Kluyveromyces lactis: one gene and its partner. The protein of the gene in region 2 purifies or fractionates together with the protein of the main gene of each other region. This does not show direct contact. Links are inferred from orthologs where the notes say so. Each region holds a gene or a part of one and is shown on either strand. Other genes may lie near its edges.

What was found.
Region 1: the proteins of RPM2 (region 2) and RRG8 purify together in Saccharomyces cerevisiae (affinity purification with mass spectrometry; 4 studies listed by BioGRID, with this or other methods). This does not show direct contact. The link is inferred for Kluyveromyces lactis from reciprocal best matches to the Saccharomyces cerevisiae genes RPM2 and RRG8.

Annotation. Positions count from the first base shown.
Region 1 is NC_006040.1:1,270,162-1,286,196, reverse strand, and holds RRG8 (Rrg8p), read right to left. Parts: upstream 10,220-16,035; coding exon 9,371-10,219; downstream 1-9,370. Other genes in the region: HOB2 (Hob2p), read right to left, coding at 1-1,924; TEL2 (Tel2p), read right to left, coding at 2,302-4,302; ESP1 (separase), read left to right, coding at 4,603-9,378; KLLA0_D15103g (flavin reductase family protein), read left to right, coding at 10,452-11,117; KLLA0_D15081g (uncharacterized protein), read right to left, coding at 11,469-14,501; ALE2 (Ale2p), read right to left, coding at 15,051-16,035. UniProt on the Saccharomyces cerevisiae protein: Required for respiratory activity and maintenance and expression of the mitochondrial genome.
Region 2 is NC_006040.1:880,767-897,697, reverse strand, and holds RPM2 (ribonuclease P), read left to right. Parts: upstream 1-9,858; coding exon 9,859-13,521; downstream 13,522-16,931. Other genes in the region: GTPase-activating protein SST2, read right to left, coding at 1-1,687; cyclin-dependent serine/threonine protein kinase SGV1, read right to left, coding at 2,806-4,743; ERG13 (hydroxymethylglutaryl-CoA synthase), read left to right, coding at 6,183-6,284, 6,805-8,097; RSC9 (Rsc9p), read right to left, coding at 13,855-15,549; double-strand break repair enhancer MSC1, read left to right, coding at 16,792-16,931. UniProt on the Saccharomyces cerevisiae protein: Ribonuclease P generates mature tRNA molecules by cleaving their 5'-ends.

The DNA of each region.
Region 1 (16,035 bases), about 390 kb from region 2:
AGAACCACAAGAGGTTAATGTCAAACTCATATTTCATTTTAGGTATGTCAATCACAATAGCAGTACTCGAAGGATTGATTTCAAGCCTATCGAGGAATATAATGTCGTTCGAGTATGATTTTTCGAAGTCACTTGATGATTTATACAGCCTCAATTCTGTAAAAGTGGCATGTGAGGAGTTTCCAGATAACAACATATGTGATTGATCAACTTCTAAACCGATTTTATAGGTTCCATCCCTCAGAGGTACAATTGAATGATCTATATTTGGCATGTTTGATGGTAAATAGTCTTTTGCTGATAGCGTAAAACACAATCCCTTAGCTTCAATTTGAAGTTGGTAAGATGAGAAGCGATGATTGGTTCCTTGAGAAGGCTGGAGAGTCTCCTTTGGTTCAGCTGGAGTGAATGATTTCACAACTTTAAGAAGACCATCAATGACTACAAGCTCATCAAGATTGACTTGTATATTGTGAAGTGTGCTAGCAACCGTATCAGGGTTCGAACCGTATCTATCACAAACGAAATGCCATTTCTCGAAAGAAATGAGTTGATGCTTGCGTCTCTCACCCTTTGAGGGAAGATTATAGATTACTGTAAACCTTTCAAGTTTTACCGTACTTGATAAAGTATTGTAAAGATCAGTAGTATCATTTTTATAAGCAGAAGGCACTAACGATTGAAGGTTAAGTTCCGAACTTATCGAATCTGAAATCAAATGATAGTAGTTCTTAGTATCCTCTTTCAGCAGAAGGTTACTGTTGGATATAATTATCTTGAGAATAATTGGTGGGAGTTCAAGTTGGTTTGGTGTATTCTTGGTATCCGCCGATGTTTGTGTTTTCAAAAACAAATCGCGGAGGTTGCATAATGATAATGTTACACGAGGGTCAATTATGTTGACAGTACAGGAACCAGTGAACGACTGAACATTAAAGTCTTGCTCAGCAAATTCAATGACGTCACATGTAAGTAGAACATTAACGACTGGTATCCTAATATCCTCTCCAGCAATTAAAGTGTATACCAGAGAGTTTATCGAAATTGTAAGGTTGTGAATATTATAGTTTTCAACAGAACTATCTAGTTCTCGAGACGGATTCATATGCAGTGAGGCATTGGATACAAAACATGATTGATCATTTGGGAGAAACACTTTAGTATTCTCTAATTGAACAGTGAAAAGTTCAAGCGTTTCAAGGAATTTCTTGTATCTTCTTATTGTCTTTTCGCTAGAGCGGGTCTTTCCAATTGGACGATACATCTTTTCACGTACTGTCGTATCCAGTTTCAATCCACCTATGTTAACACCACTGGTCCATCTGTGCAACTTTAGACCGGCATCATCATGAACACAATGGAAATGTGACGACAATTCGAGTTGAGAGAGGCTTGCAACTTTCCCCAGCTTTATTGAATGGAAGAAGGCAACTAGCATTACCCGATCCGTTTCGAAGCTGTACTCCAGCTTTAAAACTGCCAAATCCGTCAAAAAGTTAACAGTCGGTAATGAGAAATTAACGTTTACCAAACGAAGCTCAATTGGCATAAGCTTACATAGCACTTTCCATCTGGATAAGCTGATAGGTATCAGAAGACTAATATCTTGATTATCCGATATCTCCTTCGGTATATGCTCTTCAAATTCACATACCACATTTACGTCCCAACATTCAATCTTAGAAAAAAGTGAGAGTAGTAACACCTTCCGTACCTTAAAACTGTAGCCTTTGTAAATAAGATGCAACCAATAAATGCTTCGTCCAAATAAAAATCCAATCTGGAGCTTAGAAATGACAATCCTAGCATTGAAGTATAGTAACGCAAGATTGAATATAATCTGTTGCGTAACGAAAAGTATCGTCATCAATGCCAGAATTGATTTAATGCCATTGAATAACAGCGATATAATATCATATCCCATGTTTCATTGGCTGACGCAAGTAGCTACTTGTTACCCAGATCTAACGTGTCGGTAGATTGGCGGTGAGCAGAAGTGAATGGTTGTTTGTAATGATCAGCGTCTTATTCCGAACTTTTGAGCGTTTTCTTTACCTTAAAAGAGAAGCTTCGGGAAATCACGTGACCAATGCGCTGGGGCACCTAAACTCGTTAACTGCTTATGGGAAAGCAATGAAACCTTTGGTTGCACGCTCGAGACGGTTTAACAGTGTAAATAGGTTATGAAGTCAAATATGTCGAGATATACATTGCGTGTGCAGGTAGTAATTTGATGAAAATTTTTTTTTCCTCTAACCATAGGCTCCATTGAATTCCCCAGATTTTGTCATTCAATGAGTCTTAAGAGGTTTGAACTTGTTGTTTCACAGCATCCGAAAGGATTTCTTGCATCAAAATTTGCATCTCTTCTAGCTCATAATGAGGACTTGCACAAGTTAAAATGATCTTGAGCATAGATATGTAGTGTCTCTTGAACACTTTATCGAATGCACCAAGGTTAATTCCGTTCAACCAAGCATGTGCCAAGGGATAGAAGAAGAGTGTAGCGTACTTCCTAAAATTATTCTGCTGTTGTGTAATCTTACTATCAGTCTCTAAACGTTTTGATCTCCAAGTAACCTTGCTTCCTGTTATTTCAGTAATATCTTGTATCTTATTATTTTCAGGTTGCTGTTCAGTGGCCGATTCATCCCATGGTAATCGATTAGTAGGAAAATCGTATTTAGGTTTCACCACAAATTCATCATCAAAACCCCGTAGTTCCCTTGCACTCAATGCTGCAGATGTCAAGATTACCATCCTTTGTTGCAACGATAACTCGTTATTGAAGAGAATTGCATAAAGATCGACAATCTTGTCTGGACATACAACCAATATGCTAACTAATGCATTAGCCTTCCATTCTTCAAATGATTTTTCGTCAAACTTGTTCGATATGGTGGCTATCTTTTTGAGGAGTTCTTTAGAATAAAAAGATACTTCTGTTGGGAAGTTCTTCTTCTGTCGTACTAACTTCACAGTTTCCTTTAGCAATCTAAGTTCGGACCCATCATTCTTGATAACTTTCTCGAATTCCAGCAAAAGATCTTTGAGGAACAAGATGTCTCTAGAATCTTCTTCATCAGATTCATCGTCACTGTCCTGCAAAGTTATGGTATTAAATTGCTGTACAAGTTCATTCTTTGTAGAGTTCCCTTTTGGCAGATTTTGTAGTCCTTCCTTAATGGGAAATTCAAGTTTGGATAGCTTGATTAGTTCAATTCGAGGCAAATCGATTGTAAAATCGCTTTCATATTGAAGCTGATCATTTGTAAGTTTCTTGGCAACAAACATAGTACGCTCCCTAACCAGATGATCCTCAGAATGAAGTCTCTTGGTGACAAAATTCAAGGAAATTGCATCATGCGATAGTTCATCTCTGGAATCCTTAGACATGGCATCTAATATCATTACCAAGATTTCAGCGAGTGAATCATCTGTGTATAAATCCATCAGTTCAAAACATGGTAGTAATTCTCTGAAGAGCTGTGCACGTTTCGCTTCTGACATACCATGCAAGTAAACAATTTTAAAATACGGATTTCCCCATTTGAAGCAATCTATGCTAGTTGGGATATCGAATGGTAACTGGGATAGTAGTGTGAAAATGGTAGAGCTGTTATCAGGATTAGTTACTTTTTCAAGGAACGGGACCAAATGATACATGAAAAATCTCCTCTGTTGAACTGAGGTCCCCTTTGATAACATCATAATCAAAGCATTCCATGAAAATTCACTAGTAGTAGCAAGCCCTTCAATGAATATATCAACACCATAAGGAATATTGAGCTGTAGACATGAAACGAACATTTCGAGATGCGTCTTATCATATTGCTTCGTCTCTTTAAAGACAAATTCCCATTGCATCTTCATAAACTTTAAATATTCAACGATGGAAATACTGCTGCTTAAAGCGTTATAACATCTGCTTCCAAACAGAATCGATTTGATAAAAGGGAGATCTCTTCTTGACGAATGCTCTAAGTAATTGAATAGACAATCACTCTCATACTTAAGAACATCCGTTAAAAAGCCGTAGAATATTGACGTCTCACGATTCTTACCCAATTCTTTTGCATACTCAATAACCAATGATATGAATATGTAATTATTACCGCATAGCCTGCGTAGTGCCATCTTTAATTCTCTCGGTAGCGATGGATATATTGGTACCACATTCTTGATTATCGGGAGTATTTCGTTACTAGAATGCTGTTTCTTTGATGACATTCGTTCTAGTACCTGATAAATGGTATCTTTATCACATTTCTCATTCAACAAAGTACTATCAATCCCGGACATTGTGCGCTATAATATACAATCTATCACGTCAGCAGCACTTTAGCAGCTTTGCAATGCTTGTCTCATCTATAGGTTTTCATCTCATAGTCTTTTATTCATCTCATATTAAATGTCAATCTTTACAATAACACAAATAAAGAATTGTTTTTGTTTACATATTAGATTCTGTACTTGAAAGTGGCAGATTGCAGAAAGAACTAGAGACTATACACATATCAGCCCGCCAACTTCGTGGATATTGGGTAGCCAGGCTTTAGCCCATACTGTAGTACGTTTGAAACAGACAGCAGTCATATCGAAATGAAAGGTGTCTTGAGTGATATGAAAGTTGACAACAGAGTTAGAAGACCGTTAAACGCTGGATCAACAAAATACGATACGGAATGGCAGGCTACGTCAAATAGTTCGAAGATAACTACAGCACAGGAGAATAATACCAACTCCCTGATTGACTGGAAGAAATTGTACGATTTTGTGGATAATAAGAGCAAAGATTTTGAGAACTACATTCAAGTAAATGATAGTTTCATTCAGTTATATCGCCAATTGATCTGGCGTCATCAGTTGAAGAAACTTCAGGAACTTCCGAAAAAGCATATGAATTGGATTATTTTTTTGATGGAGAGAAACAAATTGACACAAGCTAGCAATCAGATCTTAATGCTATACAACGAAACCAATTTAATTAAGGCCAAAGGTATTGATGACGTTTTGTTAAGTGATTTTTCTGCGGGCAATGAGAATTACTTAGCAACATTAAAAGTAATAACAATGCAGTTGATATTGAAAACAGGAACGACAGAAAGACACGCGGAAAGTCTTTTGGAATGCTTTGCTCATGATACGCGATACCTTCTGAAAGACCCTAATGTGAAAGTCCACGCTTTGGTGAAGCTAATATTAAACTTCTTTACATTGCTAACTGGATTCAAGCCTTTGTTTGGACTCAAATTCGTTCAGTATGTGAATCAGTTCAAACTCGAATTTGGTAATTACATAAAGAATATGGATTCTTCGACGTTTCAAAGACAAATTACCAAATTACTTCGAAAGGATATATCTGTAAACTGCCACATCTATTTACCGAAATACTATGATGAGTATACGAAACATATGGAGAACGATCAAGTGAACTTGACCGAATTTTTGAGGACTGATGTTATAGGTAAGGACGTTTGCACGGAAATAAGAAATCAATTGCGCCTCCAGAGTTTTTCTGCAGGTAAGATCGATGCACTTCTACGACCTTTTTTGTATCAAGCTGCCTTAAACAAATCATCCTCGAGATTGTGTGATAGTCTAATCATTTCTGTCAATAATTCCATTAAAGACCTGAATGAGGAAGCTGTAATTTATGTTCTTGTTTACCTATCCAAAATATTTTTATCATTTGAGGACTTCAAAAGGACTGATAATGTTGCGGCTGTTCTATACAATTGTTTTGTTACGAAACGAAAGCTTCTATTCTTAGAACATGCCGCCATGGTCAATTACAGAGCATATTTACGAACGTCGAATATTTTAGAGCATTTTAAAAAGTTCGAGAGAATTATTGGTTGCTGCCAAGATAGAAATGTTCAAAAGTTGCTATTTTCATACGTATGCAACGTTTTCATGATCTTCAAAGAAAATACACTCCAAGATATGTGGAATTTGACAAGAAAGAGTTTAGTTCCATGCTTTCGCAGGATGAAACTAGACAAATTTGAAATCTTCAACTTTTCTTCAGAGCCAATGTTGTGTCTTTTATATTCTGGCTCTCATTTTTCTTACCAATTCAAGTGGTCTCATTTGTGTCAGATGCTAACTGATATTGTCACAGATGTAAAACAGTCTGACCTTCAAATCGACATGAAAATCAACACATTGGATTCATTTTCGAAATATGAAGTCTTAATAAAATCAATGTTCTGTTTGAATTCTGAAATGAACAGAAACAGCTGTCTCAAATTGCAAAAGGTCTCCAATATATACTTAGAGAAATGGGTGAACAAGGGAAACGAAACAAAACTCTCAGATTTAGAGCTTATGCTCTTGGAATCTATGATGCCTTTTCTCTTACAAAACAAAATATACAAACTTACTGCTGAAATATGTACACAACTAAGAAGCGTACAGAGATATGCATCCATACCAGACCTGATTTCATACTGGCTATTGGAGTCATATGTTGGCTTGCAAATTGGGCCTAAGGTAGAACTTTCCATCATGGAAACGGTTTCCGCACTGAAATACCAGCCGTCGTCTTTCACTGAGATGAATGTGGATCAGCTACATACAACATTATGCATTCTATTAACCCAGGTACTGTGGAAAAAAGACATCGAAACCTTCAATAAGTTAATTCATGATGATTTAACGAGATTTAGACCCAATCTATTTGACATTCAGAATAAAACCAAAATGCCTGTCGCTGAATATTTGAAGATTCTAATGTTAAACATCAAAATTACTCGTTGCGCATCCATTCTTCAACTCTCTCAAAACAACGTCTATATGTCTTTGAAAGAATGCAAACGCTCGCTCAAAATATGCAGACTCTTGATAAAGAAAGAAGCGGTGCTCTCTGCCAAGTATCGATTTGAGGTAATAAGCCTTCTTGACGATATTTTCCAAAGAATTATTAGCATTTATGTCCACACCGGTATTTTCAAAGACTGTGCATTTTTCATAACCGAATATCAAGAGGTTATAGGGTCGTTGGATAACCCAACAGCTCTTTTCAACATGTTTTCCTGCCTATGTTCCTATTACCAGCTGATAGAGGAATCAGAAAATGCCTCTTTATCACTAACAAAAATGAATGCTGCCTTCGACCAGATTGATGGAAGTGCAAACATAGAGGCTTTGGCCACATTCTTGTATTTTAACAAGGAATCCGAGAAACTGAATAATTCTATGAGGTTGTTCTTTGGAGATGACGTGTTTATTTCAGACATTGTCGAGTATTGGTTATTGAGAAGCTGTCAAAAAACTTCAACTGAAACAACACGAAAAGATTTTGAAGCAATGGTATGTATGAACAATGCAAAAATCCTGTACAACAAGGTCCAGAAGCAAATGGCCACTGATACCTTCTTCAGAAGCATGGGCGAATCAGTGATGGCTATTCCTGCATGCTATGACTGTGATAGTATTTCAGTTGATGGGAGGCATAAATCACTATCACTAACTAGTGTACAGACTTTAAAAAGCGTGAATGACTCACCCCGCCCATCATCTCTTACTCCTAGGGGTAAGTCACTTGCCTATTCTTTTGATCGTTCCACTGCAATCAATAATTTACAAATGACAGATCGCTTCATTCAAAATGCTGACATCAAGGCCCTAAAAGCTCATGAAATTCGAGAGTTAGCAAGCTTACATTCATTGACATTGTCACTATTCTTCAACATGAGTACCAAAACAAGGCTGGAAAGCCAACTTGGGCAGAATTTCAGGTTACGAGATCACCCAAGATCATTGTCATTACTATATGAAAAAGCTTTCTCTGATATGGGAACAGAGATATATGATTCTTTTATACCCGAAACTATTGCTACTGAATCCGTTGAAATGTCAGAATGTAATATGAATTTGGCAACTATTCATTCAGAGTTTGGGAAAAAATGGTCTCATCTCTCATTCAATGTGGTAGAGATTGACATTTGCCAGCTCACTGGTGATCTATTAATTACTAGATTCGATACAGTACGCAACAAACACCTTCATTTACGTTTACCTTTGAATCGTCATAATTCCAGAGACCTTTCGGAAGAGGTCTTGGGTTTTGAAGCCGCCCTCGATGAGTTAAACCATATCATTTCTTCCAACAATTGTACCACTTCAATTGAAGTTACCTCGGTCATTACCACCAAAGAACAAAGGAAGAACTGGTGGGATGAAAGGTATGCTTTGAACAATCGACTCCAAACTCTTCTCACTAAAATTGAGGATTCATGGTTTTGTGGGTTCAAAGGAGTTTTTAACCCAAGAATAGTTGATCAGCAGCAATTTGAAATCTTCAAAAAGGGCTTCCAATCAATACTACACACGCATCTTCCTTCAAGAAAATCATCGAGACAATCAGATTCTTTTCTTCAGGTAGATAACATGTTGATAGAATTATTTGTCCTATTAGATGTGATAAATCAACCAACTGAGAAGGCCGTAAGCATGATGGAAGATTTAATATATTTCGTGTTTGATATATTATTATTCCACGGCGAGCAAAATGCATATGATGAGATTGACGTAAATCTAATGCATGTTAAATTCGAAGAGCTGTTACAAGAATATAATGCAGAATCTAAAACCAAAGATCAAACATTAGATCATACGTTTTTAATATTGGGTAATAAATGTCACTCGATACCTTGGGAATCTTTAGATTTCTTGAAATCCATATCCATCAGCAGAGTCCCGTCAATAAAAATGCTCGACGAATTGTTAACCAAACACTCAGAGCTTTCTCCTTGCGTCAACGTTTCTGAGAATCTCTCGTTTGTCTTAAATCCTGGAAATGATTTGGGTAGAACAGAGACAGTATTTAGTTCAGAATTCATTGCAATGGCGAGCAGGACTAATTCAAAGGCTTTCATTGGTAAACCGCCAACGGTAGACGAATTTTTTCATTCTGTGGCAGATTCTAATTTGTTTGTATATGTTGGACATAGCGGTGGAGAGCAATATGTTAAACTAAAGGACTTGAGAAAATGTAACCATTTAGCACCTAGTCTCTTATTGGGCTGTTCATCTGCTCATTTAAAATACTGCGGAACATTTGAAAGCAGTGGCACCATTTATTCGTACTTACTTGGTGGGTCTCCTATGGTTGTGGGGAATCTTTGGGATGTGACAGACAAGGACACAGACAAGTTATCAGTGTCTGTTTTCGAAAAGACCGGATTCTTTAATTCCAAACCAATCTCAAGAACTGATGAAAGTGACGCAACTATTAAACAGTTTTTAAATGTCAGTGAGGCAATATCTCAATCAAGAGATGAATGCAACATGAAATATTTAATTGGTGCAGCCATGGTTATATATGGATTGCCGATGCGGTTTACCGAGAGAACTGTACCAACATCTATTTAGAGAAATTAAGTAGACTATACACTAATCGTATCAGACGTTCATCTTTCAAGAACTTCAAAACGACACCAACTTCATGATTCTTCAATTTATCATTAATCAAAGCCCTTATCGAATCATTTTCTACTACCTTTAAATTCAAGATTATTACAGTGGGATCTTTGGGTAACTGCTTAAGCCGTACAAGCTCTATATCGTTGTCATTATTGTGATCGTATGTCAATACTACATCCCAATCTTCAACTACGACTGGAACAGAAGACTTTCGCCGGTCAACTAATTGTGTCATGCAATTCTCAATGCACTGTAGTAGCTCCTCCTGATGCTTTTCCGTGAATAGACTCTTGTCTAGCACAATGTCTGACAACGATATGTTAGCAATCCCCGAATCATTGACTGCAGTTGGAACTAATTGACCTAAACCAGGTTTCTTCCCTTTAAATATCTTCAAACTGTTCGCTACGTATGAACTGCTTTTACCGCTCTTCATATTTATCAGTGGCATCAATGTTGCTAACTTCCCCGGATTCTCATTACCAGTTTGCACCAGTTTCATTTGAATCAATAAATCTCTGGGGAACTTGAATCGCGATGCCTTGTCACTTCTCATTGGTGAGGCCAGTAAATTAGCAAAAAGGTTCTTACTAAGGTCCCATGAACTATTTCCAACCGCTTCAGTGACCTGCTCCTTGTCAGTAAGTTTCAAGACCCGCTCTTTCCCTGCCCATCGATGGAAATTCGTTAATAAGGGACTTCGTACCTCTGGTACTTTCAACGTCTTCTTCAAAGAATTCTTAGTCCCATCGCCTCTAGAAACGAATAGTTTCCTCCAACCTTTACTCATATTACACGATGCATGTACCTAACTGTCTTAGCCATAGGCTAATCATGTATTGCCTCTTGCTCATCGATTCTTCTCTCAACATTTAAGTGGTAAAACAATAGCTTAAACAATTTTTCACTTGATTACATACCGGTTATACCACATCTCAAGAAGAATAAAGGCTAACTAGTGAATTGGCAACAAGATTTCTCGAGCTTCAAGGCATCTAGATAGGTGGAAGTGATTAACCATTATGCCAGGTTTCAATAGTACGATGATGGTAAGGCTTTATTCTACTGCCAAGATATCTATTCATGATATAACCCAGCAAAAGTTCAGAGAGACTATGGGAAGGATCTGTAATCAAGCGATGATTTTGACCACAGCTGTGCCTATACATTGTAACAGCGATAGATTCCGTGGTGTTACATTGTCCAGTGTTACGTCGCTTTCGTTGATGCCGATACCGCTTATTCAATTCAATCTGCAGCTCCCCTCGTTTACTTCCGATTTCTTACACGATTTTAACCATTTTGCATTACATCTTATGAAACCTAACGAGCAATCGATTCACCTGGCCCGGAACTTTAGTAAGGGTGCCATGAAAAACACCCATAATGGTGAGATAGTTCCGACTCAACCTTTTGTAGGGTTACAAGAAGGCGTCGAATACGATACTTATGACATAAACGGTACTAATTTACGTATTCCTTTGTTGAAGAACGCCGAGAGAGTCATTGTATGTCAGGGTTTGAAAACCTTCAACGTGGGTGATCATGAGATATGGGTCGGAAAGGTCGAGGATATTGTGAATCGAACGTCTGAGGAAGGTGCTGATGATCCGATTAGTGGTGGATTATTGTACTGTAATCGGAATTTCCATACGTTGGGAGATCCCATTAGGAAAAAGTCTGGCTAAGATCCGCTTTTATTAAAGTGTATTACGATACGAATTTTAATGTCTTAATGAGCAATTTATCCATGGTCAAAGACCCTTAAGTATGACAGGTTAGGAAATACTCTTTGTTTTGACGAATCGAAAAAAGTTGTACTCTGCATTTAAATAACATCTGTTATGGTTTTATCTTGAGCACCAATGGAGCCTGCTTTGGTCAGCTTGCCATTTCGGTAGTTACGATAAAAAAAAACATTCCTTCCATGTGTATATCTATATCCATATCTGTGTATATATTCACATACCGTTTATTCATGTATGTGATCGAAAAGGGTGCACCTGTATTCAAGCCTTGAGCGGTGAACAAAAGTGGAATCAGGAATACAAAGATTCATGAATGTTGATAGCATTAGGATCATCATCCTCGTTGATTTTCGCATCCGATAAATACTGGCTGTTAACAGGGGTTGGTGCCTTTTTAGAAAACATCAAACTGTTTAATGAGTTGAAAGATACCGTTTTCTTGTGCTTTCTGACAGGTTGCGTTTGTGATTGTTTCCCACCTTGTAATGCTGGAGTACTCAAATTGTGAAGTGGGTTAGAAAGAATAGGTGAAGCAGCACGTAATGAGCTAACTGATGGGACGCTGCTTGCGCTCGAATTCTTCTTCAAATTGTTATAGGGAATATTCCTCGAGGTGGACGTTTCTGGCGTATGATTGAGAGGTATCACTTTCGCCGGATGTGGTGCCTCTAATTCGTTGATGTGGATCTTTGGGATGGCGTTCGGCGTTCTTGAGCCCTCGCCGGTTGGTGTCGAGTGTTGAGACGTTGATTTCACAGGAATTGCAAAGTAGCCTCCACCACTACCACTAGAGGTGTTACTAGCTGAAGTCACATTCCCAGAAATATCCTTCGGGGACATGAAAAAGTTGAACTCGGCACCTGTATGATTCGTAGTATTACCGGCATCACCGCTTGTTGTTCTTACGTGGGTCAAAGGCGTCAAGTGATGAACTGGTGTCATTCCATTGCTAGTTATAACGTATCCCATATTAGAAGTTTTATTCGAGCCTGAGGAGCCATCGTTAGAAATGAACGAAGTTGGAGATACTTGATGAGATGGCAATTCGGTAGGAGGCGGCCTAGCTTCAATAGTAGGTGCCAGAGATTTAGGCCTTTCCGTGGCAAATATTAAATTTCCATTATCGTCAATGGCTGGGGTATTTACCTTTGATCTCAAGTTCACTTGCGAGACAGAAGGAAGTTGTATGTAGTGTGGTCTCTGTTGTAAATTACTTGAAGACTGGCTTGACAAGTGAAGAGAAGAAGTTGGTTCCGATTTAGATTGTCCCAAGCTCAAGGTGCTGCTAGCAAATTTATTGTGAGCTTTCAAAATCTTTTCTTCGATGTATCTGGCTCTATCCAGAGTATTGTGGAATTTGGTTAGATCTTTCAAATTATTAGTCCATTTCTTGAATTCTTTGACATCGACATCTGCTGGTCTTTTGAAGGTGATACTTGTGAATTTTACGGTATCATCACCACCAGACACTACTCTGCTATCATTTGAAGAGCCCATTGCTAAATTGTTGTTCTTACCGTGTTTGCCACTTCCTGGTTTAAAGAGCTTGGAAATTGTTGAAGTAGATTTAGAGATCTTCTTTAAATCATTTGAAATGGATTCACTAGCACTCTCTTCCATAATATAAGTCGACTTACAGTTGATGGTAAATTTATCTTCTATCTCCAGCAATTCAGACTCGTTCAATGAGATACTCATAATAGGAATAATGGACCTCCCCTTGTTTCCCGAACTAGGTATGATTGCATGTTCACTATTTTCGCCGGTGTCCTGTGTCAGTTTAAAGAAGTTTGAAGATTTGAACTCATGCAAGTAGTTAGATGTTAGGACAAAATAACCCTTGTTGTATTGTTTCAAATACTTTGATTTCTTTAGCAAATATCCGGCTCTGATACACTTAGCCAACGAAGATTTCATTTTTGGGTATCTAATATCAGACAACTTTCTTGGCTGTGGGATAGGGTCAGTAGATTTCCAGTTGAGCAAGCATCTTGGATGATGACTAACAAAGTTGTCCCATTCTACACATGGTGGTTTGGAAAGAATACCTCTTTGTAACTCCCTGCACAAGTTGTTAATGGAAGTACGCGCTTGAACATCAATGATTGCTGAAAACTTTTGCAAAGTTTTCTGAATAGTTGAGAAAATAATCTTTTCCAATTCCATACCAGAGCTTTGTAAATTGATGTAGGCCTCTTGCAAATAGTTTTCTTCCAAAAGTTGTCTCTTCAATTGTAAATCCAATTGTAACTTTAGTAAATAAGGATCATGTTTCGATTTAAGAGATGAATTTCTCTTTAACTTGATCAAATCAGATCTGCTAGCATTATCGTTCAAAAAATTCACAGCAGCAATGTACTTGTGAAGCAATTGCCCCGTCAATGCGACGTGCTCTTGGATATTGGTTTTGAAATCAGCATTGAGTTCCTTAATCTCTTTGATCTTGTGGCTCAAATCTTTCCTCAAATCCTCTAATTTTGGAATGATCTGTAGGGTGATCTCTTTGCTCGATTTAACTTGTTGACTTGCCAAAGAGAGGTGGTACTTCTTTAGAATAACTTGAATGTCCTGTATAGAACCTGATCCAAAGTTCATGAACCCAGCGCCAGAGCAACTGTCGTTAGGTTCCAGTTGCAACTCTTGCCCAAGATCGATACTTGAATTGTTCAGGGTACTAGCATTACTGGCAGCAAACGGATCCGGTTTCTCGTCAAATGGCGATTTCATCTGCGTCATTGGTTGCGGTTTCTTTTGTGGCAAATTCTTCGTCAATGGATCTGAGACTCTGTTAGTACTTTCATCTAAATCAGTCAAGAATGAGAACTTCACAGAATTCTTCAAGGAATAATTGATTCTTGCGAATTGTTCTTGCGAATATGCAACTTCTCTCAAATAAATGATCATCGCCTTCAAGATCTTCCGCCATTTATGAAACCTATCCGCCAAGATATCAGTAGGATATTCTCGCACAAATGACGCTGTACCATCATCATATAAGTCTAATCCCTCAGCTTTTCCAGCATTGGCACTAGCACCTGCACCCGAGCCCACACCAACATTAGCACCAGCTCTGGCACTGATATTTGCATTACCGGCTCCTGAATTGGCACCAGCACTGGCACTGTTAGCACCAGCTCCTGCCAAGAGAGAATGCTTGGGAGTCGGAACGTTCACGTAATAAGGAGAATGATAGTTGGTCTTGGGTAAGATATCCTCATACTCGGTTTCATCAGCTAAATCCAATAAATAATTCGAATCCGACGAAGCAACTGATGAGTTATCTGCCAGTGATCCAGTATCCGTTTCTTCAATTCGCGGTTCCATCGCTGATAATGACAGATCAAAGCTTGGTTCCTTGTCCCTAAAATAAACCGATTATAAAGTCAACAGCAACAATGCTAAGCGATATTCCGTTGCCACTCGTATCACACTGGTATGTTATGTGCTTCCAGTGAATACTGATTATCTATGTTACTCGACGGTACAGGGAGTTTAAGGAGTGTTATTTGGCTTTCTTTCTTTGTTTTTGTGTTGACATGGTGTGGTGATGTGTGTGATTCAAATTCCAATTATTTCGATTCTATTTATGTACATTCTCTTGATTAAACTCAAAACAGAGTCATGGGCTCAGCCGTGTACGGTCCAAGAATAGCAATTTAGGGCATGAGGAGGCTGCTATAGTGTGCTTCAGGAAATCGTCAGAGTTTATTCAAGAACTTGATTTGGATGTACGTAAGGATATTTAGTTTATCTCTCGGGATTCTGTATCTAAATTCAATAGATTTATAAAAGTTTATAAGGCAGAATGTTACACGGCGGGACGAGCCTCAGAATCTGAGGGTCTATTCGCCGGTCGCTCGCTTTGTATTATCTTCATTTATCTTGGACTTTACCACCTTTCTTGATGATTCTGACAGCAACAGAAAGCATGGTTGATAACCAGAATAAGTTCAAAACGTCAAGGATCAGGTTACCGGTCACAATGATGGCCGTTTCGAGAGGTAAGAAGCTTGGATCGTTTCTGATGTTGTAGAAATCGGTACACAGTTGGTAGAATTGGTAGAAACCCCAGCAGATTCTTGCCAAGAAGAAGATCAAGATCAAAACGACATTGTTCACCAATTGGATCACGTTACACACCTTGGCCATGACAGTCTGACAGTCTTTGGTCAGTTGTGGCAAGTACTTGATCCCGAACCATCTGATATTCAAGAATGGATTGGATAGCTCGAACATCAGGAAAATACCTGCGTAGTAGTTGATGTAAGGTTTTAAACCAATAGCATAAACCACCGTAGAGATCAAACCGTGCAGCACGAATGGGAGGGTAGAGTAGACCAATGAAATGTAGATATCCCATAGGAAGTACCCAATTGCGAAAACGCATACCTTCACGTTATATGGGTCCATGCCAAAGATACGATCGTGAGAGTTTAGATCTGGTTTTTCATTGTTATATGCAATGGCCTCGAAACTGAGATAAAGCACGATCAGAGATTGGATCCAACTCACCAGACGAACGGCACTCTGGTTGACAAGGTCTGCATGCTGCTTTTCCTTAGACTTACGTTGGTCTTTCGTAGTCTCCGGATCCCAGGATAACCTATAAGAAGCTAGAGGTGGGAATAAGACCCGTTGAGATAACAGGAATAGCGCATGATACCCGACGGCAATGTACAACACAGTGTGTAAATTGGATAGAATCACATTCGAAGTAATCCATCCATTGGATTCGAGATATGGGATCACGTACTCGGTCAAATGAGGGTGCGGAGGTAAGGACATCACATAGGTCGTGAACAGATCTATCTGTTCGGAAACAGCTGCTGGAACGACGCTGCTAAACAAAGAACTACTC
Region 2 (16,931 bases):
GCGAAAGGCATTCGCTAGTTTGTTTTAAAAGAGCTGATTGAATTGTATCTTTCAGTTTAGTACTACCACCAGTTTTCCATTCCCTTAGATCCATCTTATTGTGTTCGCTCTGGTTTCGAGACTCAATGAGTTTTCGCAGAACCGACATTCTTTTTAAAAACTTCGTTATTTCAAAGTATACGTCTAGGTTTTCTGCACACATGTCTTTGCAAAGATGCTCTCTAAAAAGATATCGCATCCCAGGATCAGCCAGAATTTGTTTGAGAGACAGCAACTTTAAACCGTCAGGATTATAATTATCGTCCCCAGTACCTGAGCTCGAACTTGAATCCGAGCTTACATCATAGTTCGACACCATTACATTTTTGGTTCCAAAATCATGTCCGCTTTTGAGCTGAGAATTACCTGGGAGTGAACGACTGGAGAGTTTTACGCTGCAATTAACGCCGCCATAATTCTCAGTATCCGTTCCGATTTTAACCCCGTCCATGAAATGCGGAATCTTGGGTAGCCCATCTACTCCCCATTGAATTACGTCCCAACCGGCTTGGGTCAATGTATAGTGTGCTGTTTTTGAAATTAGAAACTTTTTCTTGCTGTTTTGACTGGGAGGTAATAAGATTGGTGTAATTAGGCCGTATTTCAGAAAGAGTGCTGCAACTGCAACACATTCTTTAGGGTACATTATATCAGTACATTCCATCAACCATTGCCAAAGGGCTTTTGTGGTGAAACAGTAGTCAATAAACATTCCTTTTCCAAAAGTTTTGTTCCCGAACAATCGAAGCCCACAATCACTCACATAATATTGAATGTGAGAGTCAGAATCTGGATTTGAAAAAAATCTATATGCAAACGGAGATTCTCTGTCCTCATCTTCAAGTTGTCGAGAGTTTAACGAATGTAGATTGTTTTCAGTATGTTGAGACTGTGAATTTCCTGAAACATTATTTTTAGGGTTTTCACCAAGCTCGTTTACGGCGAAGTCTGGTGACACATTTTCAAATGAGAAAACATCTGAGCTTCTTTGATCCAATAAGTCAGAGAGCTTAGGAATTTTATCTGTTGGATTTTTTGGGGACCATATATTAGGTTTTGGACCCATGACCTTGTTGAACAATAGATTTATGAAGTATTCGCTTTGAATGACAGAATCATCTAACGTATTTCGCTCGAACTTGAAAAGATTCATCGTATTGAAGTTTGAAGTTAATATTGGAGGCAGCTCTTTCAATGCAAACTTCCTGGCATAATCACACGTTACGGCCACCCCTTTAGGAGTCGGCTGCAAAAGAATGTTCTCTTTTGGCCGACTTCTTGTCTTATCCGCAGGTGTATGTAGTAATTTAGCTTTCATAAAAGTGTTCAATAGCTGGTATCCCAGTTCTGGTTTGATGGAATAACTGATGTAGATACTAGTGGAATTCATTTCCACATTAAGCTCCAGCTCCTGTAGTAGATCAATAGCCTCCGTAATTGAAAATGTGAACGGAAAACTTTTCTTAGCGAAATTCAAGAGTCGATTGCTACTTGATCTTGGTTTTTCCTCCAGCGGAAGACATATTATCATAATAGAAAATACTGTTTTCAGTTCATGAGTTAATATTGAGCCATCGGGTGAGCGGTCGAAGCTATTAGAAAACAATTCATGCAGCGTTTTTTCCTTTTTATTTGACTCCGAGACCATATTATCTATTCATAAGAAGAAGTAAATCAAAAATAACAAAGAGCGCGACAGTACAACATGCATATACCTCCTGGTATAAATACAGCTAAACCCCCCTTTAATTCGTGAAGCGAAGCCAACAGTCTTTACGTCTGAATAAATTCGAAGTTGTCAGTTCTTGGTTTTGCAGTAACGTACAATCCACATAAATACCAACTGCAAGTATCACCTCTCGAGAAGTAGGGTTGCTAACATTTGTATCGAACGGCTCAAAGCATTCCTGGTGCTCTATATATAAAGGCAAATGTTGATGATCTTAATGGCTTGTTTCAGATTATCACGGCGTGGTTATATCCTGGTTCACCCAGTAACGGATCTTTTGAAACAATGTTGAATTGTTTGTGATCAAATCATTTTCCTTTTTCCCTTCCAGCGTGTTTTTTGGGCAATATTGACATGAAACATGCAAAGTTCCGGTACAAACCTCAAAATGTCCAAGAAATAGGAAAATGAAACAATAAAGCTATGATAAGATCGGTGGAATTATTATACCGACATTCTAATCGATACTCAAACACAGTGTGAAAATGAGGCACTGTTTGCCTTCTTTTAATTATTTGTGCAAATCGGTACCTATTTGCTTGTTGGAATTGTTTATAGCAAACACATCGAGCATCAGTTGAAACGTTCGAGGAATTTCTGTGATGCACCGCCAACAAAGAAATTACCCCAGGGTTCAATTCTGCTGGAAAGTGCATAACTTAATGACCATGTTTAAATTGTTTATCAGTATATTTAAGTTGCTGCTTGGTGATTATTGACGTGCGTAATTTTGATTTGGTTTCCAAATCTGGATACATCAACAATGAATTTATACCAGCAAAAAATCTTCATCAGCCATAATTTCCCTTTTATACGTAATGATATCATTCACAGACCACATATCATAATCTGGTTAGCACTTTAATGGATGAATTTCTGGGATACATGAAGAGAAACAAACGCACTTTCCCTCGTAAACTATCTATATACTATTTAACAATCTCGAAGCAGCAGGCCACTTTGGGGAAAAAACATGTCAAGTTGGGTTTAAAAAGTAGAAAAGTACCAGCATAGTTTCAAGCCCAATTTAAATTTAATCAATAGTAGTCTGCAACGTCTTTTGGTTTGACATTGTTGGAATGCGATGACTTGGAATCTTTTTGCGTAGATTGTGAGCTACCATGGCCAATGGTCCCTGGATTTTCAGAAGCTCCCGGTCTGTAACTTCTCCGATCACCAGCTTGGCTGTATTGATTATACCCTGTATTTCTAGAGGTATTGTAGTCCTGATTTTGATATCTGTTAGGATAGGATCCTCCTCTAGGAGCAGAAGGACGTTGTATAGTAGGATGATGCGAACGATCAGCAGGTGGAGCATAATTGTTATTATAATTTAGACTGTCTCTACCAGTTTCCCATCCTCCTCTATTACGGTAACGTTTCCCGGCATTATACGACTCGGTAGTAATTCTTGTATTCACACCGAACCTTGATTCAGCCGGATATTTCGATGCATATGAATCACGAGGATTCGGTGGTAATTTATTTGGTCCAGTCGGTATACTGTTTTTAGGACCTTTTGGAAGAGGCGCAGTCGGAATAGGTTCTTTGGGGATGTTCTGAGTTGCTGCACCATTGTACCGTGAGGCGGAGGGTTGCGCTGGAATGGTTGATTTTATGTGTTCTGGTCTAGGAGCCTTTGGTATTGAAGCCTCTTTTGGAAATGCAGCACCTGTCACAGCTCTTATGGAATTATCAGTCGATGTATGTCCTGTTGGGGCAGATGGCGGTCTTTGAGACATAGATTCGTTCATCTCACTTTTGTATCTTTTAATATCGGATTCGTGGCATTCTTCGTTAGGCAAAGTTAGCTGTGCATTTGGCAACGGTTCTTCGAAGAAGAAAGGGTGTTTTTTAGCCTTCATGGCAGTTACACGCTTGTATGGATCTAGAGCTAGTAATTTAGAGAGAAGATCCAAACCTGTCTCGTTCAACGCTTTCGAAAATCTTTCTTGCAACGTACTTTTATAGTTTGTTTTTGTCAACTCGGATCCAGGTAAATGGTAAGCTAATCCCCATTCATCCATCGATGGTGTTCCCATGAGTTTGAAGATGACATGTCCTTGATCAATATCTGTTTGACCCTGAAGGATTGGTTTTTTCTCAAAGAACTCAGCAAATACACAACCAATCCCCCAAATATCAACTGCCGTAGTGTAATGTCTATCACCCAATACAATTTCAGGAGCTCTGTACCAACGTGTAACAACGACCGAGGTGTATTTAGCACCTGATCCAGCACCACCAGGATATTTAAGATTTGGCGGAGAACCATAATAGTTTCTTGCTAGACCAAAATCTGCAATTTTTACGACACCTTTATGATCTATAAGGATATTGGCTGTCTTAATATCACGATGCAAAAATTTATTGCAGTGAATATAGTTAATACCTTCCAACAGCTGTAGCATGATGTTTTTAACATCAGCCATGCCGAACTCCACTCTGGGGTTATGTAACAACCCTGTTAGATCGGAAACCATGTATGGTAATATCATGAAAAAGTGTTTACCTGTTATGAGCTTCTGCTGATTTGCCGTGTTGTTTCCATGATAGTTCCCAACAGGTCGAGGAGACGTACTATCTGTCTTAGGAGTTGGTGACTCGTCGTAGACAATCTCAATCAACTTTACGATATTTTTATGATTCATGCGCTTCAAAATGGTAATTTCCCTCTGAGCTGTTATTGGAAACAAATCCTTTTCTGCTCGTACTAAAATACGTTTAATAGCAACCTTTCTATTTGTGCCTAAATGAATCCCTTTAAAGACTTCACCGAAAGTACCTTGCCCTAATTTTTCTTCCTCACGATAGTTGTTCAGAAACTTAGTAACACCGTACACCTTTTCATTTTCTCTGCTTTGAACCTGAATGTACTCCAAACCAGTCTTATCATCTTTAACAACAGTGGGTATCTGTTTCACTTTGCCTATCTTATACTTCAAAGACGCAGGCTTCTTATTCACAGTGCTCATGGCTATAGTATTCTTTATTCAATGCAAAGGAGCGATAGCAACGATTTTTGTAACTCTTACAACAAAAACTCCAATAATTAGGTTTTATGATACTTTAAACTGCCATGTGATGCAATAAATGACCGTTCACACAATAATTACTGATTGCAAAAGGACCGTTGTTGTACAAAGCGAATTTGACATTCATAACTATTCTTTAATTTGAGTTTAAATTTTGCTTAACATGTTATACAGGTTGAAATTGTCATTATTAAAATAATATCACGTGACCAATATGGCGTTTCTACTCAAGAGTCACAACCGCTTTAAGTTTATAACTAATAACCAGCTCTTTTGTAGATGCCATTTTGAAGGTACGGTAAGTATTCTGGGGCCTTTAACTTCTAAACAAGCCTATGAACTTCAGTAAGCCATAGTTTTACACTCATTTCAAAAATGAAATCAGACATCGGCATTAAGAATGAGTCTTATTCTACTTCTAGCTTCAATGAAAGTATATATCACTGCAGAAACATTTCGTGATCTTCTTGGTTGTCAATTAGGATAGCGCTTAATTGCGCCTTTTTGGAATATATAGTATTGAAATGACGCACGAAAAATAAAGCACTTACAAACGAATAGGCCGATCATGAAACAGTCATCCTAAACGTCCATCTGCTGAACATCTAGTGACATTGTCTAGAACACGCTGTTACTTAAGGAGTTCGCCAATAAAAATAGGTTATTCTAATGGGAAGATGATGATAAACTTGTCTCGTTCTTACTCCTGAAGGTGAAAAGTGGAGAGCATTCGAAACAAAGGAGATAACGGTGTTTGACTTCAATATTTCACTTTCTAAAGCTAAGCAATTATCAAAGTACCTATTTACTAAAACATATTTGATGGATATCACAACCCAGCTCCAAGAACAGCCTAGTTCACTGGCTGAACTATTCTTTTAGCTGAAGCTTGAACGTTACACATTTGTTTTATAAAGATACTCTCATCGCTAAGATAACAAAAAGAGCACAAAAAGCACCTCCCTCAACAAAAAAAAAGGAAGCGCTATCTCGTATGCTCTGTAATTCTAATTATACGTGCGAAAAATGGACCAAATTACGCAGTGGAGGTGAATTATCCAGCAAAATTATTTGTATCATAATATATGTTTCTTTCCTTGGCTGTACAAAATTGTACCATTTTTTTTCTTAAACGACAGATGTTACAAATTTTCATTGAGATGGCCTTTTTTTTCTTTTAACGAGAAAAATATCGACGTGATATTTAAAGATGAAAAAAAATAAGATACACTGATGATGAACTTTCGTGTTTTAGGTAATGAAAGAAAGTGTTAACTCTTGCCAGCGGTTCTTTTAATATAAGTTGTTTATACCATACTACGCTGTAGATTATATCAACACACAACTCCCATAGTTATTCAGCTAACCCTTCAGAAATAATGACTGAACAAGATCTAGCCAAGAAGCAAAAGACTGTGGATCAACCACCAAGACCTCAAAACGTCGGTATCAAGGGTATCGAAATTTACATCCCATCTCAAGTATGTTCTTAATACGTCAATTACTGTTATAGCAACTCACGGGCTTGCATATTTTGTTGAATTTGAGCGTTTTCGAGACTTCTGTTCCTACTTTGCTGAAGTACAGCGGCTGTGCAAATAAGCTTAAACGAGGAATACAAAAAAAACGGACACAGATAGTTGCCAAACAAGAGGGAATTATTGGCCAGTTCTTTAATTATGGATAGGAAGGCATCATTTGGAAAATTTACTAGCTATCAGCTCTTCGGTCTTCTTTCTTTGTAGGCGCTGTTGGTCCTTATATGTGTTCCCTCTGGTTTTGCCGCCACTAGTAGAAAAACAAGAACAAAGTGATTTGCATTGAAGTTGAAATCACAACAGTATTAACTAACTGGATAAATGCATCTTTTAATATGGACAGAGCATATCCTACCAAACGCGCATCTGATCCTTCAAACTTTGCTACGAGAAGCCCTCACCGCGTTGTTTTCTCAACCTCACCCAGTCTTACTAACATTTATACTTTATCCTTTCGAAACAGTGTGTCAACCAAGAAGAATTGGAAAAATTCGACGGTGTCTCATCCGGTAAATACACCATTGGTTTGGGTCAAACAAACATGGGTTTCGTCAATGACAGAGAGGATATTTACTCTATGTCTTTGACTGTTCTATCTAAACTTTTGAAGAACTACAACATCGACACCAACAACGTTGGTAGAATCGAAGTTGGTACCGAAACTCTACTGGATAAGTCTAAGTCTGTCAAGTCTGTTTTGACCCAACTTTTCCCAGGAAACTCTGATACAGAGGGTATTGACACTTTGAATGCTTGTTATGGTGGTACCAATGCTCTTTTCAACTCTTTGAACTGGATTGAATCTTCTGCTTGGGATGGCCGTGATGCTATCGTTGTTTGTGGTGATATTGCCATTTATGAGAAGGGTGCTGCCAGACCAACTGGTGGTGCTGGTACTGTCGCTCTATGGATCGGTCCAGATGCTCCAATTGTCTTCGATCCAATAAGAGGTTCCTTCATGGAACACGCTTATGATTTCTACAAGCCAGATTTCACAAGTGAATACCCTTACGTTGACGGTCACTTCTCATTAACTTGTTACGTCAAGGCTTTGGATAAGGCTTACGAGGCTTACTCAAAGAAGGCAATCGCCAAGGGTCTAGCAGCAAAGCCTGCTGGTAACTCTGCCATCAACGTAACCGAACATTTCGACTACAACGTGTTCCATGTCCCAACTTGTAAATTGGTTACCAAGTCTTATGGTAGATTGTTGTACAATGACTTCAGAGCCAACCCATCTCTATACCCTGAAATCGATGCATCTTTGGCTTCCGTCGAATATGAAACTTCTTTGACCGACAAGAATCTGGAAAAGACATTCGTCAATGTTGCCAAACCATTCCATAAAGAAAGAGTAGCTCCTTCCTTGATCGTCCCAACTAACACTGGTAACATGTACACTGCTTCTGTATATGCTTCACTTTCCTCCCTATTGTGCTACGTCGGTTCGGATGCTCTACAAAACAAGCGTATTGGTTTGTTCTCTTACGGTTCTGGTTTGGCTGCATCTTTGTTCTCGTGCAAGGTTGTCGGTGACATCAAACACATCGTCGATGTGTTGGACGTTGAAAACAAGCTAAAATCCAGAAAGACCGAGTCTCCAGAAGATTACGAAAAGGCTATCCTGTTGAGAGAACAAGCCCATCTACAAAAGTCTTTCGAACCTACCGGATCCATTGAAAACTTGTACCCAGGTACTTACTATTTAACCAATGTTGACGACAGGTACAGAAGATCTTACGCTATCAAAGAATAATTCAATGCATAGAAAAATGCATTAAACAAATTCATTTATCATTCTCATCCATTTTTCTCTGTTGTCTATCTACAAAAACGATATCTTGATTTTTTTGTCTTCTGTTGAAACCTTAATAAATCTTACTCGTTGACCAATCCTGATCTGCGCCCTTCCACCTGACAAACTACTTTACAGAGGAAAGGAAAAAAGAAATACCTTGCTAGCTCTATGTTGCACCAGTATTTTTAAAGATGTGATACTTCTGTTTTATTCATAATAAACAGTATTTGCGTTGAGATAAAGTAAGCAAAAGATAGTATCTATCGTCATCTTCGTATCCGCAACCCAATCTCATATCCTGCAACCACCTCGGATACCTTGCTGGTCCCCACACTAAACGCAAACAGGCAGAAAATAAATATATTTATATGTATATTTTAGACACACCACACACGTAAATTTAATTGCCTTTCCATTCATTACTGAACTTAAACTTACCTTGCTCGATTGATTGTGTTTTTCAGAGCTTCTTCCTGCCATATTCCTAGCTTGTATGCTAGCAGTAAGCCTCTCCTTCCGAATGTCACATCCAATCCTATCTCCCGATGGTAATATCGGTCCAATTCCAAAATACGCTATTTCCCATAGCTAGTCATTCCTTACGATCCTTTTGTAAATACGAACATCGCTTAGCACTGTTTTCGTTCGAATTACTTTTCCCAGTCTGAGTGAATTTACTATGCGAAACATCGCTACCGTCCAGAAATCGGCCAATAGAACACAATCGACAGAAAACGCTAAAAAAAAAGATGATTGAAGCAATACAGTTTTACGGTAGTTTCTATGAAAACACCCGGACACCACACCATAAAGCTCGTCTTTCCGGCTTCTGAGGAATTTATCGTAACAAAGCTAGTAAGCTCCAACAGTTGCAGAGCTTAGCCCTCTGACTCCTGAGTGTGTCCGGAAGAAAGAACCAATAGGAATATTACTGAAGCACGGTAAAGTTTAATTCTGTGCCACGTCACAGCAAATCACAGCTCAGGGATCAAAAATAGACCTGGTGGTTGATCTGACTACTTTTGTTTCTAGGGTAATACGCTCATGTCCTAAGAAAAAATGACTAACCAAAAGAGCTATCCCCGGGTAAGAAGTAGTTTCGCGGCTCTAAATAATAAGCGTTCATAAAATTTCCGTGCTTTTTATGGGGGATTCCCTCTGTTAAATCTCTGCAGCATATCAGAATGCTTCTTTTCCCTCCGTATCAGAATGACAGAAAATAAAGAAAACTGATAATTTGACAAAAAAAAAAAGTAGAAAACAGAAAGTAGAGAAATAGGAAAAGAGAAAACTTCATATATCTATAGAATCAAATATTCATCCCTACCGGTAATATTGGCTCAGCGGTCAATCAAGAAGTAAGCACAAAAGTTGATATTAAAAGGGAGCTACAGAGTCAGTAAAGCTTAGTTTCTCTGTATAGAATAAGCTTCAAGCTGGAATCATCTCTCTTATATTCACTGATTGACTTGGTCTTTTTTCCCTTCCCTGTCACGCTGGACTAATTGCATCATTATTGACCGTTGAATTATTTACTGTCTCACTTTGTTAATTTGGAGGGTTGATAGATATTATATTGGCTTCCATAAGACGAATCTAACTTTACCGTAAAATAAGAGTACCTTGGGATAATTGTCCTTCTTTTTTGACAGGAAAGGTATTTAGTTCGGACTTATTGTTTCTTCTCTACATCGTTCAAATAGTGGGTTAAAAGACAGGATGCACTTCAAATCATTGAAATGTAAGTTCTACTGTAAGGGGTATCATTCCTCTGCACATAAATCGGCAACGTCCTTTTTTGATAGCTCGTACCAGTATTTGAAACAGAATCAGGGACTTGTGAACTTGGATACTGCTATTCCTCAACATAACATTTTGACTGCTGTTCCACATCCCGTAGTGGTGGCCAACGTTAATTATAATAACGTGGAAAGGGCTTTACAGAGTAGAGACGCAGAGCTGTCGAGATTAGAATCAGAGGAGCTAAATTTATTTTATGAAAAGGATGGTGAAATTTTCTATTCTGGCGAACATGATGTAAATTATTCGAAGAAGAGCTCGTATGGTGCCAACCACAATAAGAAGAAGAGATCCAACTCGTTTACCTATCTATCGAATGAAAAATCTGCTCTAATTAACGAGAAGTTGTCTACCCGTTATTATTCTACCAAGGTACAAAATTCTCAAAATAATGCAAATAACAATCTACGAGCAACTCCGATCACTCCTCCAACTTCACCTCCTGTCGAAAAGCATCATAGTTTAGAGAAATCTGGAGCGAAAGAACAAACGGATAAAGGTGCAGTGCCGGAAGCTCTCTTAGATCGTTTAAAAGATGTAAGATTGGATGACTCAATCCCGGCATGGGAAACAGATTTGGAACCATGTTTGAATAAAGAAGCATTTTTAGAAACACAATCTAAGCTGATAGAAGATTGCATGAAGAACAAAAATTATAATCAGGTTAACGCAATTTATAAATCGTTGATAAGAAATGAAATTGTTCCTCCGTTGTCATTATTTGAACAAGTTTTGACTTCTATTTGCAGAAGGGACTTAGATCAAAATAATATCGATAACCAAATGTTTGAATTACTTAACTGTTACCAAGATATAATTCAGAATAAATTAAAACCAAGCGCAGAAATCTATCACCTTGTTGTAGGTTCATTGTTGTCTGGATCAATCAGAGCGTTTGAGTTACACAACACCAATGGATTAGATTTTTTCAAAATTGCCATTGATCTGTTCTTTGCTTCTAATTTGAATAAGAATAAGTCCTTCGACCATGAGTTTTTAGATAATCTTTTGTTGGCTATCAATTTATACCCTGGCCACATAAAGTACGGCTATATCAAGAATTTCATTGATTCAAACGTGAAGTATTCAAAGAATGAAATCTATTACATTTCTTTAATCTCGTACGCCAAGATGTTGAACGAACATGAGGCAGTAAAAGACCTTTATCAAGATTTTAGATCAGAACTTCTGAAAAATATGCAATTGGTTGAACACCAATATGAAGTGTACTCTGTCGTCGTATCAGCTTTTGCTGAAACTGGATCGTTAAGTTTAGCTACAAAGCTCTTAGATAAGCTTCTTGTGGATCTACAAGCAAAAGATGGGCATAACAAGAACGTTTCTTTGGTCATTTCGAACTTTTTGATATCTGTCGGTAAAATAAATTCGGAAAAGGCATATAAGTTGTTGATGGAATTCAGTAAATTAAAATGGGTACCAGAATTCTCTTATGAATTCTACTTGGTCATGATCGCAAACTGCCTCAATACTAATTGGCCATTGGTGAAAAGAATATACAATTATATTTTCCCTATGAAAACGTCATTCAACACCACGAAAAACGATAATAAAATCAAAAATTATTTATTGTATCCAAGTGGATTGGAATCGATGCCCAGCACTATATTGACATACGCCCTAAGGCAAAAAGACGACGAGCTCATTATGAAATTGGTCGAAGAATCGAATGTGAAAAAGACTACATTCCAAAGAGGATTGTACCCTTACATTTTTAGCTACTTCCAAAGCATAGGTTGCCCGGAGCCTTACTTACTTCGTTTTGTGAATATTCATGGTTCTGCACTTTCAACCGATAGCAAGCCTCTAGTATTCGAATTTTTGAATGCATTGGTCGAAAACTATCAATCGCAACCTATCTTGAAGAAGGTATCAGAAATGCCTTTCTTTAAGAGTGCCTGTGAAGCGTTCACTCTTGAAAACGCTTCTGCAGTTAATTACGCAGGTTTCATTGTTTGTTTCCAAACGTTGTGGAAAACTCCTCAATTGATTCAGGATTATTCTTACAATCTTGAATTGCATGGAATAGCTGTTTCGAGATTATATGATCTAGATACCTACTATTTGGATATTCAAAATGAGATGTTGTTAGATTTCAAAAAACAAATGGCTGAAAGATTCCAAAAGCTTTGCGTTAACTACAAACGAATTCATTTGGATGCCAACAAGATTTCCCCTGTAGCAATTCAAGCTATGAAAATGGTCGATCTTTCCGAAGATACTGTGGCTTATTTCCAACACCCTGGTGACTGGGACAAATCTTACCCATTAAGCTTGGGTCCGGTATTGCGTAACTCCAAAAGGACAGGGTTCAAGCAATATGAAAGACTTTCCGAAGATGGCTACAAATTTGATTATGATACTTTCTCCGAATTGATTCACCAGAAATACATAACCTCTGATGTTATAACCAAGACTATCAATTTATGTCCAGACAAGGAAACCCTCAAGTATATCTCTAATTGTATTGTTGTGAAATGTCCAAAGAATCTTTTGGAAGAGGAGGTAATTCAACATCAGTTATTCAGTAAGATTCTTGAGAACCTAACAGATAAATCGCTATCAAAGCTTGCGTTAAATTGTGAAAACATCCGGAATTTTATTAATGCTGTTGGTTTCCCCGATAGGTTCAAAAGTATTACTTCTCAAGCGGAGTACAAAGGCGCTACCGCGGTTATATTTGCAGCGCTATTTAGAGCGAAGGACTATAAATCAGTTATCATGTTCAATGAAATCTGTCCATGCCTAGACATTTCATTGATCTTGAAATCTTTCATTCGCCTAGGTGACTATGATAATTATCTTTCTCAAGAAGCGAGGTTTAAAGATTCTATGTCGCCTGCTGCCCTTGGCGTAATTCGATCCGAATATCTAATAAATCAAAAGAAATTTGAAGATGCAATGTTACTGCTTAAATCTTTCCCAGATGTTATCGATCATCAAACCTATGACAAGTACTCTTTTGCATTATTTTTATCATCATTCTCCGGAACTCCTGTTGATGTAGACTTCCAAATCGAAAACACGTTGCAGTTAGCGAACGTGCTCTCAGCCCAACATTCTTTCCACAATATGATTCACTGTTACGAAAGCATGACCAAAGGAAAGGAATTTTCACAAGACTTGAAGTTGAACTTTGGCATTAAGATGGAAATTACCCAACAAATTCTCAACAATATTGAAGATTCTATGCAATTTCTTGATTTAAATGATACTTCTATTATAGAGAACTATTACTCCAAACTCGAAAACTACATGAGATTCAGGGGTTATCTTAAAACAATAACTTTCACCGAAGACCAAATGTTGCAGTTGCTCAATATATGGCAAAAAATTAACCCAATTTTGGTTGACAATTTGTTCAACAACATCGTCGAATCAGTATGTTTGAACAACGCTGTAAAGGTTATAAACTTCAATGATAATGGTTCTTTTAACGTTAGCAAGACCTCGCTAATGGTACTTTTAGATTCCATTTCTGCCATTTACAAATCTGAAGGCTTATCTGATCATCATTCTAAAGTGGAGAGTTTCAAAGATATTATAGATTCTTCCATGCACTAAACAACTTTCTGCTGATGTTACCTTATTCTTACTATACTTCTATCATACTTTCCATGAACAATCTGTCTCATGAAGAAAGTTTTATTTATTTATTATTTGATGAGTTTTACGATTATTATGACAAAAATGGGTTTACGCTGATCCATTCGATACAAAATTCTGATATTGTCAGAATTGCTATCATCTATTTTTTATTTTGTTTCACCATTTTTAATTCAATTTTATACATTAGTTAGGTCTCCCGTTGTTTAATTTTTACCTTTAATCGATACGTTATACATTTAATTATTACAAAACTACAACTTTAATTACTCTATCGGCCTAACGGTAAGTTCAACCTGAATGTATGAAGTCCAAAAGAACAGTATTTAAAGGTGGCACGTCAGCAATTTGATGTAATATCAAAGGTTTCATATCATGAATAAATTGTGCCACGATCTCGGTACTATCGTTAGAAACAAGTGAAAGGAATGACGCACTTGCTTTAGATACATCAGAAAGATTCTCGGGGAAAACAATATCTGGCAAACAAATTTGAACTGCTTCCGATGGAGTATTGTTGCTTTCAAATTCATCCGGGGTTTCAGTCTGTATAGGCGAGGACTGGTCAATATCTTTATTTGCCTCTACGATTGAAAGAGCTTTTCTGCGAGGCTGTATACCTCTTATTACAAATTTTTTCTTCGACGTTGCTTCATCTACAACTACCAAAGCGGATGCACCGGGCAAAGCATTCGAAACATTTTTAATGAAATCAACGGCAGTTATCAATTTTCGATCTGTTAGTTTTACTTGTTCGCTGAATGTTTGTTCATAAGTTTTCCATAGAAGAATCTGTGTTACTTCGCCATTCAGAGATCTCTCAAAGCAGCATCTCAACCAGGAAGTGGCACGCATTGGTTCGTTTAGCTCAAATAATTCCTTGAGCAGTGGCATTGGCAATTCAGGCGCGTGTGCTGGTGGTTGAGGTTTTACCCTCTGTATAAGTTTGATATTAGTATTCGAAAGGGCATGATAATCAGGGGTTGATACATGATACGTGAGGAGAACAGGGAGAGTACTAACTAGGATATCATATCTTTCCTTATGTGATAGTAATGTCTTTATTCTCTGATGACCAGGTAATATATATTGATAAAGGAAATCTAATGAAGCAATTATTAACTCTTCATCCCTATCAATTAAAAGGTTATGAACAATCTTGTTCAACAAACTATCATCCAAATTATCTGCTGCACTCTTTTGGTCCGATTTAGATCTCACCAAGAGTCTAGATAATGATCTCAAAATTGAGATCACGCAGTATCTATCCTTTGTATCACGAAATATCAAACAGAGGTTTTGGAAATATAGATCGTCTTTTTTTGCTGGTGCAATATAAGATGAAATCGCCTCCATTAAATCAAGAGTATAGATTAACAATTCGTTGAAACTGGATGTATGTGACTGATAGATTGCCGAATCCTTCGAATTGAACGTATTTGCCCACTCCAACACGAACAATATGAACGATTTCAATTCCATATCGGTGGCTAATATCGAAGTGTTTTCCGAGTCCTGTGCCAAATTTCTCAAAAGAAGCATTGTAATTGAACCTTTTTGTAGGGCTTCAAAAGCCTGATTGGAAATTGGGCCAACAAGCTGTGGAATGTATTCTCTGCATGCTGTAATCAAGGGCATAATAATGGGCAACAAATCCAAATTCTCATTCAATTTGATAACATAAGAAGCGTTAATGCTATACCGTAAATATCTTTTCAATGCAAATTTAACTTCTTCGTCTATTCCACTTAACAATGCCATCTTCATACGGGTGAGATCATCAACACCAATCTTAGAGTTTACAGGCAAATGATTGAAGATAGGCAAACTGCCTAATGATTGTTGCAACCCAGCAACAGGCTTAGCGGTAATACCATTGGTCTGGTCTCTGCTAATATTTAATTGTGTTGCGGGCAATGTCTTCAAGCTTGGAATCGCTGTTTCTCCTTCAGCATTGATCACCGGAGTGACTGAATGGCTGGACATCTATTGATTTGTGAAGCACTAGGTATCACACAAAACTAGAAAAAAGCGAGTCTCCGAAAGAAGGTGTGTTTAAGGTATCTAGATCGCCGATATAGGTACAAAGAAAGTAAGCTCCATCTAATTAGTCGCGTTTTCCTTTTCTGTCATTGTACATATTAAGAAGTCCATCTCGAATCTTTCGTTGTTTTGCATGTTGTTGAATTTCGAGTTCAATAATACGGCTTATATCCGGGTAAATGATTACATAAATGCTCTCCGTACATAGTAACAAGGACAGATTAAAGACTATATGCTGTTGCTTAGTGATTCTAATCATAGTTCTGACAGTTAGGTTTATCCTCTTTATGAACACTGACTATCCCCTCTGTGACAGCCTAAGTCCTTTTCAAATGGTTATGGGAACAACGAGTTTAAATTCACCTCCCTGGCAATTGACGTTGATCATGTGACCGAAAAGTGGTAATTCCACGCTAAGGAACGGATCATCAACCGATGATTCAGTGTAATCTCAACATCAAATCGACTCAAACGACCCATTGATTCTCTTCCTTCTTTTCCATTTCTGCCCTGATTCAAACACATTCTAATTACCTAATTAGTTTCCTAGACCCTAACTCCCCCAGAGTTATCACTCTCAGTGATCTGATCTGATTACTTACTCATACATACATCAAAGCAAATTCCACACATCACGGCGTCCGGAAGAATTTTTACCTTAAGGCACAATACAAATGGTGGCATTGCCATCTGCAATTTTAAGACACAGTCGTCCTTTTGCATCGTTTCTTGCTGCCATTAGCAAACCGCAAAAGTCATTTCTTTAACATTAGCAAAAAGACGTCTTTAGAATCCAAAAAATAAGGGAAAAAGGTAACGGGTTAGCGAACATCATAACTGACGCTATTGTGAGCTTGGCTAGACCATGCGTGAGTATATCCATGTCACCCTACCCCTTATTATAAGTGTGTAGAGCTATTATTTGGAACTAAGTGTGGCCATCGATTTTTACAACTTAGTGTGATGCATTGTCACTGTCAACTAGAAGTTTGTTCTGGCAATTCCCATTCTATATATATATATATATATATATATATATCAACAAACGTGGAACACTTTCTCTTGCTTAACAACTGGCATTTTTAGGCTTAGGTATATTTGTATAGGATATCATTTAAAGTGTCTGTTATTAATAAGATTTATTGACATAGCTTATTACACAGAATAACAATATTAATACGCAGGATGAAGCTTAGTAGTGCTTTGATATTTTGTGCAGCTGCTTGCCAAGTAGTTATTTGCAACAATCTATTTGAAAATTGGTCTAGTCAAGACATTATTCAATATTTGAAGGACACTGGTGACTCTGCTAAAAAGGATGCAGA